2 linked regions of the Macaca fascicularis genome follow. Each later gene encodes a partner of the first gene's protein in a complex. Links are inferred from orthologs where the notes say so. Each region holds a gene or a part of one and is shown on either strand. Other genes may lie near its edges.

Region 1 (7,003 bases):
AAAAATGTTAAATGGCTGGTTGTGGTGGCTCATGCCTGTAATTGTAGCACTTTGGGGGGCCAAGGCAGGTGGCTTGCTTCAGCCCAGGAGTTTGAGACCAGTCTGGGCAACATGGCAAAACTGCATCTCTACAAAAGAATAATACAAAACAAATTAGCGAGGAGTGGAGCGGTGCATACCTATAGTCCCAGCTGCTCGGGAGGCTGAGGTAGGAGGATCACTTGAGCCTGGGAGGTGGAGGCTACAGTGAGCCAAGATGGCACCACTGCACTCCAACCTGGGTGACAGAGACCCTGTCTCTAAATAAAGAAATACATTAATTAATTCCCTGCTGATTGTTTTGGGGGGGGAAGTCAGTCACTTTTACTTTCTGGCTTGTGGATTTTTGCTTTCTACGCTGTTCAATACACATTGCTTTAATTTATTTTCACATGCATCATAAAATCAACCTTTCACTCACAGCTCTCTGCTTTGCATTCCTTCGTTTTCAGCATTCCTATTACTCAAGCCTTCCTGAATTACTCTGCAGTCACACACATTTCACAAATGTCCGGGTTTTGCTTCTTTTTCCTTTATGTGGTTTTCTAATAAATAATGCATTGTTGATTTCTGTTCTTGAGTCCCATGTGAGACTCTCTTCCTGAATTTATGAACCCAGACTGTTGTTATTTCTAATGATGATCTATTTTCTTTTGTTGACCTATTTTATGCTTTTTGGTATTCTTTTATTACAGGAATTACTCTGTTTTCTTCTACTTTCAAATAAATTAGGGAGATGGGCTGGGTGTGGTGGCTCACGCCTGTAACTTCAGCATTTTGGAAGGCCGAGGCGGGAGGACTCCTTGGGTCCAGGAGTTCACGACCGGCCTGGGCAACATAGTGAGACCCTACCTCTATTTTAAACAACAACAACAACAACATATTTAAAAAATAAAAATAAGAAAATAAATTTGGAAGATGAACACATTCTATTTTAATTCTGTTAGTAATCAGTAAAACTGGCTTAAAAGCTGAGTCTCCTTTGGTTCCCTTTTGTTTTATAAAAAATGTCTGTGTGTACCTTTGTCAACAGCCTGAATCCTAGGGATCACAGGTTCCCCTGGGAAAGACAGGCGTTTGAGTTTGGTTTCTTGTGTTTATAGGGTTCTGGGCAAACTGGGAGGGCAAGACACTGTGCCCTCATGGGATGACACTAATTGCTCCAAATTCCAGTGCACGGCTGGGGGTGGTCAGAGAGCTGGCTCCTTCACCCACCCTGGGCTGCTCACCCACAACTGTCTCTCCACTGCCTTCTACTGCTGGGAGTTTTGAGCTTTTGTGTTGGCAGCTAAATACGCTCAGAGTCCCTCCTCCTCAGTTTCTGGCATGTTTCTCCATGACTACCAAATGTTACTAGAATAAGAGGGTGAGACAGAGTTCAGCGAGGGTGGCCATCCTGATCCCTGCTTGCTGCTCCGAGCCTGAGGTGGTGCTGCCTGCTGTGCTCTGTTATCCATGACAAGCACAGGCCTCGCCCTGTCAGTCCTCACAGAGACTCAGTTGACTGTTTTTGGTTTGTGAAACACACAATCACCTCGGCCGAGGAAATGAGGGCTTGTGTCTCTGCCTCATTTCCTCTGCTGCTCAGAGGCAGGGACAGCCTCACAGGCGACACGGCAGTGGCCCAGGCCTTGGGATTCAGCCTCCAGAGGGTCTTACCTCAAACTGGATCAGCACCGTCCCGCTTTCGAGGCCCTTCTTTAGTTGTGCCATGGACCCCTCCAAAGTGTCCCCACCCTCTGGACACATGGGGAAAATGGCCTCGGGGAAAAGCTGGTTCAGTTCATCTTCAGACTTGAAGTCAGCGAATGAGCGGACAGCTGTAATGTACAAGACAGGGCATCTGACTTGTGCAGCAGCACCCGGGTTTATCAGTTTTCCTCAAACAAATCACACCTATGACACCTGAATGCAGATGGTTGAAAACATCTTATTAAATGATTAAGCTACACGGTAATCATTTGCACCAAAGATACTACTTCTAGGTGAATGATTCAATATGTGTTAATTACATAAAATGACATGCTAATCTTCCTGGTTAGTTTTAAATAATGGTGTTTAGCACCCAGAGGTTTTTGTCAAAGGTAAAGGAAAGGGAAAGAGTGTTTTTTTAAAAAGCATATTGTCTCTGCTTGCTCTTTCTGACCTGGTTATTCTTCTACCCATCCCGACTCCCCTTTCTTTCTCAGGTTTTTTCATTTACTTCCCAAAACTGGGCATTTCCCCAGGCATGAGGGTGAGGTCAAAGGCTTTCCCTGTGACACCATCATTCCTGAGAGCGCAATCCCTAACTCAGGGCCATTTCTGTGTGGGAGGCTCCTACGTAAATACTGTAGTCCTAGCATCTCTTCTGTGCTTCAGCCCTACCTCTTTAGTGCACATTCTCCCTTCATGTTAAATTCAATACAGGTGAAAGCAAAGCTAGGACCCCCCCCCCACCTCCCACCTTGCACAGGTGGGGATCCGGAGAGATCCAATAAGGCCTCACGGAGGAGGTAGGGTCAGAGCTGGTCCTAGTGGCTCTGGACTGAGAGTTGTAGTGGGAGCAGAGCTGAGGCAGGAGCGCAGCAGTGTGGGGTGTGAGCCACATGTGCTAGGAAGGCAGAGACACAGGGCCAGGGCTTTGCAGCTACAACCTTCATTTACTTTCAGTATTTTACAGTTGTGCAGGGTGTTCAAGGAACTTGATGTATTATTTTATAACAACAACTATAAAGACAACATTGTGATGCTCAGTAGGGGCTGTCCTTCAAACCTCTGCTCCCATCAGGCAGCAATGCAGGTACTTTCCAGTCTAAGTGCCATTGATTGATTGATTGATTGCTTGATTGAGATGGAGTCTCGCTCTGTCACCCAGGCTGGAGTGCAGTGGCACGATCTTAGCGCACTGTAACCTCCACTTCCTGGATTCAAGTGATTCTCCTGCCTCAGTCTCCTGAGTAGCTGGGACTATACCCACACGGCACCACACCTGGCTATTGTATTTTTGGCAGAGATGGGGTTTCACCATGTTGGTCAAGTTGGTCTCGAACTCCTGACCTTGGGTGATACAACCGCCTCGGCCTTCTAAAGTGCTGGGATTACAGGTGTGAGCCACTGTGCCCAGCCCCAAGTGTCATTTAATCTTCACAACAACCCTGTGAAGTCGGGACCACTCCTGTCCTCCTCCACACCTGAGCCAGCTGAACCACAGAATGGTTATGTAACTCCTGCAAGGTCCCTAGCCCGCAGAGGCAGAGTGAGGAATCACCTGAGACAGTCAGGCTCTGCTCTCCTCACTGCCTCCCCGACAAAATCAAACATGCATGAATAAAATATCACCCGATCATTTGGGAAGGGGCTGAAAATGCAAATGTCTGCAGGGTCGTGCCGCTTAGGGACTGCGTGACGTGGGCTGCGTTGGGCCTGGGAGGAATTGGGAGCCAGGGGCTCATGTCCTGTATAAAGAGGGTGGGTGGGCGCTGCCTCCCTCCAGAAGACTGGCCACATGGGGACAGGCTCATGTGGGCAGATCTTCACATTTTTCAAGTGAGAAGCCAAACATTGGGTTATTACCTGAAGATTCTTGATTTTCAAATGTTGGCTACAACCTCAACATTTTCAAGAGCAGATAAAGGGCTGGAGCAGGCGTGGCTTTGCTAGGGCAGTGTCCCTATGGCTCCGCCCCCCAGGTGGCCATTACCTCTCCTCCTGATCACCAGGGCCAGCTCCCGTGAGTGGGACTCCCGGCTGGCTTTGATGAACATCACCACTTGGTCATGGGTGTGTTCTGAGATGTCCCGGCCATTGATTAACACGATTTGATCCCCTTCGTTCAGCTTAGGAATGCAGGTGTCCGCCTGGGTGGAGGGGAAAAGCAAATTTCTCCTGTTACCATAACACAGTCCTCGGGGGAAGAACCATGACTTGCTCTGCTCCCAGACACCTGAGACCACGATCAAGTTTGCCTTCTCTCCCTCGGGTAGTACTGTCATTGTTTTTATAATACATCTACTGCTATGTGGACATGGTAGTTGGTTGCACGATATAAAGAAGTACTGCTCAGAATATAAGTTATAAAACATTTCAGAATAAGGCTATAAAAACTGCTGATGCCATTCCTCTGTGGTAGTCAACCTTCACTTATTATAATATAACTATACCATTTCCAGCCTTTTGTTTCCTAGATGTACGGTTAGGAAATGATTTGCCAGCTAGAGGTGAGTATTTATCTGTCTTGCAAAGGTGAAAGCTTTTGTAAGCTTCACAGCAGAGGCAAAAACCATTATGGAGAGAAGTAAGGTACTGAACAGCACAGGAAAGAAAGCCTTCTGAATTTACAGAAACCATAAACAGTAACAAAAGTTAAATGACAAGAGCTTAAGGACTACTTCAGAGTAATCCCAACATGGCTCACTGTAAGGAGGCACAGTGACTCCTACTGCTTTAAAAAAGCAGATGATTAAAAGGTAACTATGGAGCCAGGTGAGGTGGCACACATCTGTGGTCCCAGCTACTTGGGAGGTTGAGGCAGGAGGATTGCTTGAGCCTAGTTTGAGGCTGCAATGATCGCACCATTGCATTCCAGCCTGGGCAACGGAGCGAGACCCTGTCTCTCAAAAAAGAAAAGAAAGGTTAACTATGGAAAGTGATGAACATGTTAATTTGTTTGACTGCAGTACTATATGTATAACAAGACGTCATGTTGTATACCTTGAGTATGCACAACAAAAAAATTAAAGGAAAAAATTACTTATCATTATTTTAAAAACAATCAAATAAATTTATTTTATTTTATTTTTGAGACAGAGTCTCACTCTGTCGCCCAGACTGGACTGCAGCAGCGTGATCTCAGCTCACTGCAACCTCTGCCTCCTGGGTTCAAGGAATTCTCCTGCCTCAGCCTCCCGAGTAGCTGGGATCACACCTGTGCGCCACCACGCCCAGACACTTTTTGTATTTTTTGTAGAGACGGGGTTTCACCCTGTTGGCCAGGCAGGCTGGTCTCAAACTCTTGGCCTCAAGTGATTTACCCGCCTCGGCCTCCCAAAGTGCTGGGATTACAGGTGTGAGCCACTATGTCTGGCCTAAAAACAATAAAATAAATTTGAAAGAAAAACAAAGCAAATGCTCTTCTTAGGAGGCCTAAACAGAGGATGAAAGGGGCACTGGTGGAAAGATGGTGAGAAGAGGCACAGGGCCCACGTGCCCACTTAGAGTGAGCAGGACAGCAGACTGCCTGAGTTTCCTTCTCTTGAAAAGGACTTCCGAAAATTTAATGTGCACACCAGCCACTCAAGGCTCTTGTTAAAAATGCAGATTCCGGTTCAGCAGGCCTAAGATGGGGCCAGAGAGCCTGCATTTCTAATGAAGTCCCAGGTAACACGGGTGCTATGGCTTCAAAGAGCACAGTGAGCAGCAAGGTTCTAGAAAACATGGTGTATCTAAGCACGTTCTTTGCTCTGGCAGAAAAAGAAATGGGACACAGAAACAGAAACCTGTTAGAATTAGGGGAGAACAAACATGAGGAATAACATGGAATGTATTTACTTACAGGTGACTCTGGGTTTATCCTTGATACCACAAGAGGCATCTTTTGATCCACTCCTCCCTGTAAACATTTTAAAGTAAAAAAAAAAACAATGTTTTTTAAGTTAAAAAAAAACAAACAAACACTGGAGTAGCCACAGCATCAACAACATGGAGGTACCAATAAATGTGAGTCTTTGGTACAGCGAGGCTTCAAACTTCACTATCGCTGATTAGAATCACACGTCATTTCAGAAATACGGAACAAATTCCTGACCCCTCGATCCAGCGGGCTGACCAGGACTCTGTTCAGAAGCCTCCCTCTGCCATCCCCACAGTTCATGAACTAAAAGATGCACTCAGAGAGAGCAAGCTCCTCCTTAAAAACGCAGACGCCCCCAGGAGAGGGACTCCACAGCATGTCTTCCGAGTGCTGCTAGAAAAGGGGGCTTTCAGCAGAGGTGAGCAAGGCCTGGGAAAGGGGCGCACCCTGTGAGCGCATCTGGCTGTGAGCGCTGGTCCTCAACACAGCTGCTGGGGCAGATGAGGGTGTGCGCGATGGCAGCTGGGGGGTAGGGGACCACCTGCCCTCACTTTGTCCTAGAGCAGGGGTGAGTACACGTTTCCTGTAAAGGGCCAGAGAGGCTTTGTGGGAGTGAGGGGTCTGATGCAACTGCTCAACTCTGCAGTCATTAACCCACCAGTAAACAAATAGGTGTGGCTGTTACCAAAAAAACTAGTTACAGAAACAGATGGGATTTGGCCTATGAGTTTAGTTTGCAGATCCTGCTTAAACGTGCCTGGAGGAGAGTGGTGGCCCTGCAGGTTGAACTTGAATTGTTTTCTCTTATCAGCTTCAGCAATGCTGAGGGGTTCTCTTAATAGCATTCCTGAAGTGGGTAGATCTGTTTGCCAAGTGTGTGCCCTCATCTCTTGGAACCTCAGTATTCATTTGCAAAATGGGTTTAAAAATACTGACCTTACCACTTATTATCAGAACTTAAGAAGGTGCTATGAATCTAGTGCATAGCCAATGCCAGGCACAGAGCCGGCACTTGGCCTTTGACAGCTGTTAAGGCCACATTAAAAAAAACCTCTCAATTCTAGGCTGGGCACAGTGGTTCACACCTGTAATCCCAGCACTTGGGAAGGCCAAACCGAGTAGACTGCTTGAGGCCAGGAGTCTGAGACCAACTTGGACAACATGGTGAAACCCCATATCTACAAAAAATATGAAAAATATTAGCTGGGTATGGTGGTGCATTCTGATAGCCCTAGCTGAGGTGGGAGGATCACCCGAGCCTGGGGAGGTCAGCGCTGCAGTGAGCTGCGATCGTGCCACTGCACTCTAGGTTTGGGCGATAGAGTGAGTTTTTTTCTCAAAAAAAAAAAAAAAAAAAAGAAAAGAAAAGCCAAAAAACTCAAACTAAACAAAAACAAAAAAACTCCCCAACTC
Region 2 (7,681 bases), on another chromosome or scaffold:
ACAGGTCTAAGAGGAGTGGCAGAGCCAGTGTGCCACCAGGCTGGGCACGGACAACCACCAGGTGTCAAATGAGAAAAGCTGCCTGGAGCCTTGTGTTCACCCGTGGGTGTGTGTGGGCACATGTGGATGAGCGTGCACTCCTCGTGTTCATATGTCAGGGCACATGTGATATGGTGCATGTGAATCTGTGGGCGCCTAAGGGCCAGCAGCCATGCCTGGCAAGAAGCTGGCGCTGGGGCGGGCGTGCTGTTGCCTTCCCTCTCCTCAGTTCCTGATGCTGTGAGGGGTGTTTCAGACTGGGGGCTCCAGTGGGCGAAAGGGCAGCCACATGAGCGCCAGCACGGGCTTTCTCCTCGGATATGTGACCCGCAGCAGGCTCCTGAGGCTGGGGGTGACTGGGTGGTTTGGCCTTGGGACGCTAAGGCAGGTAGCACACGCGGGTGTGGACTTGGACTCGGACACTTGTGCGCCGCACCCTGGCCCGCTCTCTACCTCTGCCCACCGTTGTGGCCCTGCAGCCGGAGATCTGAGGTGCTCTGGTCTGCGGGTCAGTCCTCTTTCCTTGTCCCAGGATGGAGCTGATCCAGTAACCTCGGAGACGGGACCCTGCCCAGAGCTGAGTTGGGGGTATGGCTCTGCCCTGGAAAGGGGGTGACCTCTTGCCTCGAGGGGCCCAGGGAAGCCTGGGTGTCAAGTGCCTGCACCAGGGGTGCACAATAAAGGGGGTTCTCTCGCTCGGTTCATATCCAAAGGCCACTCCAGGTCCTGCTGCCCCCGCCATCCCCACTGCTGGGCATGGGGGGAGTGTCTGGGTCACTCTGCATCACTCACCTCTAGCTGGCCAGATCCCTCAGGCCCCCAGTCAGACCAGTGGCCATCTTCTGGCACCCTCCCTGCTCCCTGGAGGGTCTGAGCCCAGGGGGACCAGGGGAGGACACGGCTGATGGGTGGGCTCTGAGGGCACAGGGTGGGACGGCCACCCAGATGGTGACCCCAGCTGCCCTGTGGGGATGTACTGGGCAGGCTTGGCTTTGGGCCAAGATCCAGACACCACCTCCCTACCCCTCAGTGGTCAGGGAAGCTGGCTGGGGGGAAGTTGGGTGTCAAGGGAGCAAGGGTCTGCCCATCCCTGGGCGGGGGCTGGGTGGGCTAGGGAAAATAGCTTTCCTTTCCTTCCTGGTGAAGGAAAAAGAGGCCACTTTAACCCAGAGAATGTGTGTGCTGGTCCCGTTCCCACTATGCTCTGCAGCTTACGTGTGGGGGAGGGGCCAGACCATTTGGGGTCAGGCAGTGTCTCTAGGGGCCAGGGACAGTCTGTGCCCTTGCTTGGGTCTTGGGTAGGGGTGGAAACTGTCTGGGAGTTGGGGGCCCTCCTGGGGCCTCATCAGTGTAGTGGTCAGTCCTGGGGGAAGTCCAGTGTTGGCGGTTGGGGGTGGGAGCAGAATGGGGACACAGCCCCACCTCAGAAGCCTGGTCTGTGCGGGGCCTTCTGGACCCCTGAGCTCCACCACGGGGAGTTAAGGGGGACAGCAGTGGCAGCTGGGCTTCCTGAAAGAGGTAGATGGAGTGCCACAGGCAGCCCAGGGCACAAAGGGTGCAGGCCACAGGCAGCTGTGGTTTGGGCAGCCCCGGGCTGCCCCTGCTCACTGGGCACGAGCTGATGAATGCCACGGAACACAGCCCAAAGCCCAGGTGTAAAGCTCCTCCCGCCCTTGAGCGGCTGAGCTGCTGATTCATGGCCGGAGGGCGGGGCAGAGGGCCCTAGCGATCCTGTTACCCACCAGCCCAGTGGGCTCCCGGGGTGCACCCACATCCCTCCTCAGACCCAGGTTTCTGGACTGTGGAGGGGGTGTCAGGGTGGGGCTTGGCCCACCAGAGCATCTGGTCTAGGATGGGGCCAGACATATGGGAGGATAACGCCCACACAGAGGGGTCAGGCTGAGGGCCCCAGCAGGTCCCCATCCCTGCTGGAGACAGTGCAGCCACCCTCAGCCTGGGTTTTGCAGGACAGGACAGGCAGGGATGGGACGGGCAGGGGCACCAGCACTTGCAACACTTGCAGCAGTCACCCCGCAGATGGGGGGAGCAGGGGGAGGAGTTGGGTGTCCAAAAGGGCCCTCGGGTACCTATGGGACTGAGAGGCCCGGGGTCAGTGGCCACAGGGGTGGGGTTGGGGATGCAGCCTGAGGATTTTGGGAGACAGACCCCTCCGTGTAGAAAGAGGGATACAGGCAAGACAGGTGCAGATGGACCCCCCATTCGGGGATGGATGGATCAGGCGCAGAGGTAGGGCATCCTTGGGGGTGGCGTGGGAAGTTGACTCTAGGTACACAGGGCTCAGCCCAACTTGGGACTGCCGATAGAAGTCAGCGCTCAGGCTGTCAAGGATGGGCCCTGCGCCCTGGAACCATGGGCAGTCAGGACTGGAGCCCAGGGTCTCCGCAGGAGCTCCCCACTCTCCCGGCTCCACCCCCAGAGCGGGGCAGTTCAGCCAAAGGGGAGAGGCTGACGGGGGTATCTCCGCGCCGCGTCCGGCCCTAGGTCGGGACAAAGCTGCGGGGCGGCGCTCCCCTCCCCCTGCGCTTCCCCCCAGGCTCCGGCCCTCCCCCGGCGGCGGCCGCCTCGGGTTTCCGGAGGGGCCGGAGGGCGGGCGAGGGCGTCACGTGCGCGCCGCCCGCGGGCCGGTTGGTCCCCGGGCGGGGGAGGGGCCGTGCGCTGCCTGGGTCGGGGTCGGGCCAGGGTCGGCACCTGGGACATCCCCGAGGGAAGGGCCGGGAACAGGAGCGTCCCAGCGGCGGGCGGGCGAGCAGCGCAGAGTCGGCCCGGGGCGCACGCCGAGGAAGCCCCGCCGATCCCAGGTCCCCGGTCCTGGGGCACCGCCCGCGGGCTCTGCGGGGTGGGCGGCTCCCGGGCCTGCCATGAGCTCTCCGCCGCCTGCCCGCAGTGGCTTTTACCGCCAGGAGGTGACTAAGACGGCCTGGGAGGTGCGCGCCGTGTACCGGGACCTGCAGCCCGTGGGCTCGGGCGCCTATGGCGCGGTGTGGTGAGCGCGGGGCGGCCGGCGGGGCGGGCGGGGCCTGCGCGGGGTGCCCGGCCTTCCCGCTAAGCGGTCCGCCCCGCAGCTCGGCCGTGGACAGCCGCACCGGCGCTAAGGTGGCCATCAAGAAGCTGTACCGGCCCTTCCAGTCGGAGCTGTTCGCCAAGCGCGCCTACCGCGAGCTGCGCCTGCTCAAGCACATGCGCCACGAGAACGTGAGTCGCGCGACCCCGCTCCGGGAAGGCGCCCCGGCCTCGGCTGGGTTCGGCTGGGCTGGGTCCCTCCACCCGGCAACTCCTTCCCCAGGCAACCTGCTGTGGGGCGGGGCGGGGGTCGGGCCGTGGGCCCCCAGGGGAGAAGGAGAGCAAGGAGACGACTCCCCCAAGGGCCATTCCCCCTCCTCTGCCAGGCCCGGGAAAGAGCCCCTTGACTTGGCGTCTCAGCCAGGCCCTGGTCAGGGGACACGACTTGGCCAGGCCCAGGGGATCCTCCAGGTCTCACGCCAAACCCTGCCCCCAGCCAGGAAGCCCGCGGTGAGAGGATGCTCCCGGCAGGAGGATTTTCCTGGAAGGGGCACCTTCTCTTTCCCATCCGGGCCCCTCTCCAGCCCCTCTGTGGAGCCCACTTTGTTGCTGTCCATCTCCCTAGTCTTCCGACCCGGTGGAGGGGGAGGAGGGGGGCGCCAGAACGTAGGGAGTATGGTGAACCCTGGGGGTGAGTGAAGGGTTCAGGGAGCTGCTGTTTGGGGGGCACTGGGCGTGGTGGTCATCTCACAGACACCCTCCCTTTCGTTGTGGGGGCCCATCCTTTCCAGTCCTGCCTGTGAGATGCCATGCACAGCTGCCCTGGGCCTCTCCCACGGCGTGGCTGGCTGCGAAGAGCCTGACTTCTCTGCCAGGGGCCCTCTGGTTTCTGGACACAGTCCCACTTGTCCACTGCCCCCCATGTCACTCCTGCCCTGCCCCTGGTCTGGGCCCAGCCTGAAGGCAGGTGGTCTGGGCACCCGGACCCTAGCTCCAGTGTGAGATGCTCTGGACCCTCCTGGGTCATCCGAGCCACCGGTGCCCTGGGAGAATGAGTCCCTGCGTCCACCAGCAAACCACCTGCCCCCTGGTTCCTGGCCACCGCCACTCTCTCAGCCCCTTGGGTGGGTCCTTTTCTCTGAGGCTTCCCATAGCCCACCCTGACCCCAGCTCACCACCCCGGGCCCTGTGAAATCTGTTTGCAGTGGACACCAACCTTGCCCCCACCTCGACACCCCCGTCACACCCGGCCCTGCCCCCACCTTGCCACCACTGCACTCCCCCATCCCGCCCGTCACACCAAGACCTTGCCCCAGGACTGTAGCCTTCCCCTCGGCCCCCTGCCCCCACCCACCCACTCACTCACCTGCTTGGGCCTTGCCCCATCCAGCCAAGCGCTCTGGGGCTTTTCTTTCTTCTTTTTTTTTTTTTCTTTTGAGATGGAGTTTCGCTCTTGTTGCCCAGGCTGGAGTGCAATGGCATGATCTCGGCTCACCACAATCTTTGCCTCCTGGGTTCAAGTGATTCTCCTGCCTCAGCCTCCTGAGTAGCTGGGATTACAGGTCCATGCCACCATGCCTGGCTAATGCTTTGTATTTTTAGTAGAGACGGTGTTTCATTATTTTGGGCAGACTGGTCTCAAACCCCTGACCTCAAGTGATCCGCCTGCCTCGGCCTCCCAAAGTGCTGAGATTACAGGCCTGAACCACCGCGCCCGTCCACTGGGGCTTCTCTTTTTTGAGATGGGGTCTCCCTCTGTCGCCTAGGCTGGAGTGCAATGGCGCGATCTGCGACCTCCACCTCCTGGGTTCACACAATTCTCCTGCCTCAGCCTCTCTAGTAGCTGTGACTCTAGGCACCCACCACCACACCCGGCTAACTTTTTGTATTTTTAGTAGAGACGGAGTTTCACTATGTTGGCCAGGCTGGTCTTGAACTCCTGACCTCGTGATCCGCCTGCCTTCGCCTCCCAAATTGCTGGGAGTGCAGCCGTGACCCACCGCGCTGGGCTTTTCTTTAGCCACCGCCCTGCTGTCCTGGGGTCCCCGCTGTGCCTGGGGGTCCACCCCCTGGGCTCCCGGCCTGCAGCTGAGGCTCCTTCCCTGGAACCCCATCTTCCTGGAAGACTGAAGCTCTGTGAGGCCACATGCCTTGCTCAGCGGGGGAGGAGGCTCTGCCACAGGCCCCAGTCCTGCCATCCCCATGCCACCTCCCTCTCCAGGCCAGCCCCCACACCACAGAGGCCAAGTCAAGTCCTATGGCCCCTAGCCCACAGGACACTGCTTTCCATCTTCTGCCAAAGCGCTCTCCTGGGCACCCTCCAGCTGTCGTGTCCACAGACCCCACTGCTCCCAGGCCTCCCTGGACGGGCCTCTGTTCCTTCTCCTCCTCCCTCCACATTCTTGCCCACGGCTCTGGCAGAGCTGTCCTTCCAGTTTAGGTCCATTCTTGCTTCACTCTGGCCAGTCCCTACACCACGGCCAGCAGGACGCGTTTAGCATCACACCCGTTTAAATCCTTCCCTTTCTCTTGGGATCAAAGCCAAACTTTCACCTGGTGTGTGCTGCCCTGCCGGCTCCCTCTGGCCTCTCCTCAGCCCCTCCCTGGCCTGGGCCTTGGCCACCTGGCCTCCCTCCCTGTGTTCCTCAAACTCTCCCAAGTGTTCTCCCTCTTGCCTTGGCCACTCTGCATGTGCCCTCTGCCGGGTGTCCTGCAGCCCACATGTCTACCTGTCCCTCCATCCTTGGCTGTGCAGAACTTCTCCGGGCCTCCCTGGGACCCTGTCACCCCAAAATGCTGAGGCAGCAGTTATCACATGACCTGTCCACTGTCCATCTCCCCAACCAGGGGTGCTGTGGGGACCAGGTCTGGCAGGTCATGGTGCTGTCCACCTGGGCCTCACCAGCAGAGGCCTGGCCTCTCCTCATAGCGCTATCCCTTCCCTGGGTGTCAGTCTGCTTGGTTGGGGAGAAGAGGGGAGAAAGGGGCAAGTGGCAGGAGCCCTTTGGATGGTTCAGAGCCAGCCCAGACTCCGGGTTGCCCTTCCCCCAGAAGATCCCGGCTGTCACCATCCAAAAATAACCTGTCTGTGGGTATGTGTGCCAGGGCTGGGCCACGCTGCCAGTGGGCAGAGCCAGGCCCTTTGGACAGTGGGGCATGACGACAGCTGCAGAGGGGGTTTCCTGCCCAGAGGGCTGTGCCACTCTTGGGGGGTGTCCCAGCCCGTGTCCTCCGCTGCACTCTCAACCCTACCTGGCCCCCCAGGTGATTGGGCTGCTGGATGTGTTCACTCCTGATGAGACCCTGGATGACTTCACAGACTTGTGAGTGCCGACCTGGGCTGGCTGCTGGGCACAAGGGGTGGTGGGCAGCTCTGGGCACTGGCTTCAGGTTCCAGTTTGGCATGGGGTTCTCTTCCTGTAGCCTGAGTGGGGGATGCACACTGCCAACCCCCCCCATACTACTCTGCCCCACACCCTCCCCCACATGGTCCTGAGACCCACAGCTGGGCAGAGCTGGGGCTGCTGCCTCCCTTCACGCCTGGCACCTGGGCTCTCCGGCACCGGAGGTGTGAACCTTGGACCTGACCATTTGTTAACAGGAAGGTCCCGTGCTGGGGACCCTGGCACCAAGTGTGTGGCCGGTAACTGGAGCTGCTGACCTTTCCCAGCAGGTGGGGGAGAAGCGGTAGGGAGGACCCACCCTGCCCTTGCCCTGCAGCCGACCACCCCGGGACTCACACCTTGTCAGCCAAGAGTGAAGGGCCAGGCTGAGGAAGGCCTGGAGAGGGTAGCAGATGCCTCCCGCCTGACTTGCAGAGGTCAAGGACCCACGCTGGCCTCAGTGGCCTCTGGGGAGGTGCTAAATACCATTCTCCTGTGTCCGTCTCCACCGGCTCAGCCAGCCCCTCTGACCCAGATGCCTTGCCTTGCCCCCATCGCCCCCAGGCACCTCCCTCATCTCTGGCACAAAGTTCCGAGGTTGAAACCTGACTGCCTCCCTCCCCTGCCTGTGAAGACTCGAGCCCTGCAGCCTCAGCCCCAGCCTGGCACGCAGGGCGCTTTAGCAGAGGGTTCAAAAACCCCAAAGGGAGGCCGGGGCGGTGGCTCAAGCCTGTAATCCCAGCACTTTGGGAGGCCGAGACGGGCGGATCACGAGGTCAGGAGATCGAGACCATCCTGGCTAACACGGTGAAACCCCGTCTCTACTAAAAAATACAAAAAACTAGCCAGGCGAGGTGGTGGGCGCCTGTAGTCCCAGGCTGAGGCTGAGGCAGGAGAATGGCATGAACTCGGGAGGCGGAGCTTGCAGTGAGCTGAGATCCGGCCACTGCACTCCAGCCTGGGGGACAGAGCAAGACTCCGTCTCAAAAAAAACAAAAACAAAAACCCCAAAGGGCAGCCTCCTGCCTGTCTGACAGTCCTCAGAGTGGGAGGGAGGTGTGAGCGTTGCTGGCAGTGACAGTTGGGGCAGGATGGAGCCTGGCACTGCAAGGTGGGGTTGTGAGGATGCCGAGGCTAGTGGAGACGGGTGCTGCAGGGTAACCTTCCCGGGGGCACCTGCTGGATCCCGGATGGGTCTGAGCCTGGGCCTGCTGGGTAGGCCTCTGAGATGCAGAGGC

The links. Proteins that work in one complex are often made in the same cells at the same time.
Region 2: the proteins of PTPN3 (region 1) and MAPK12 are in contact, whole or in part, in a crystal structure (PDB 4QUM), measured with the Homo sapiens proteins. The link is inferred for Macaca fascicularis from reciprocal best matches to the Homo sapiens genes PTPN3 and MAPK12. Residues at the interface, in NP_002820.3 of Homo sapiens: Arg655, Leu671, Asn674, Arg675, Tyr676, Lys677, Asp678, Val679, Arg751, His812, Ser843, Ala844, Gly845, Ile846, Gly847, Arg848, Met883, Gln886, Thr887; in NP_002960.2 of Homo sapiens: Met182, Thr183, Gly184, Tyr185, Val186, Val187, Arg189.

What each region holds. Positions count from the first base shown.
Region 1 is NC_088389.1:48,706,184-48,713,186, reverse strand, and holds part of PTPN3 (tyrosine-protein phosphatase non-receptor type 3), read right to left. Parts: intron 5,630-7,003; coding exon 5,573-5,629; intron 3,879-5,572; coding exon 3,722-3,878; intron 1,860-3,721; coding exon 1,699-1,859; intron 1-1,698.
Region 2 is NC_088384.1:1,293,472-1,301,152, forward strand, and holds the start of MAPK12 (mitogen-activated protein kinase 12), read left to right. Parts: upstream 1-2,750; 5' UTR 2,751-2,918; coding exon 2,919-3,043; intron 3,044-3,122; coding exon 3,123-3,252; intron 3,253-6,324; coding exon 6,325-6,383; intron 6,384-7,681. UniProt on the Homo sapiens protein: Serine/threonine kinase which acts as an essential component of the MAP kinase signal transduction pathway.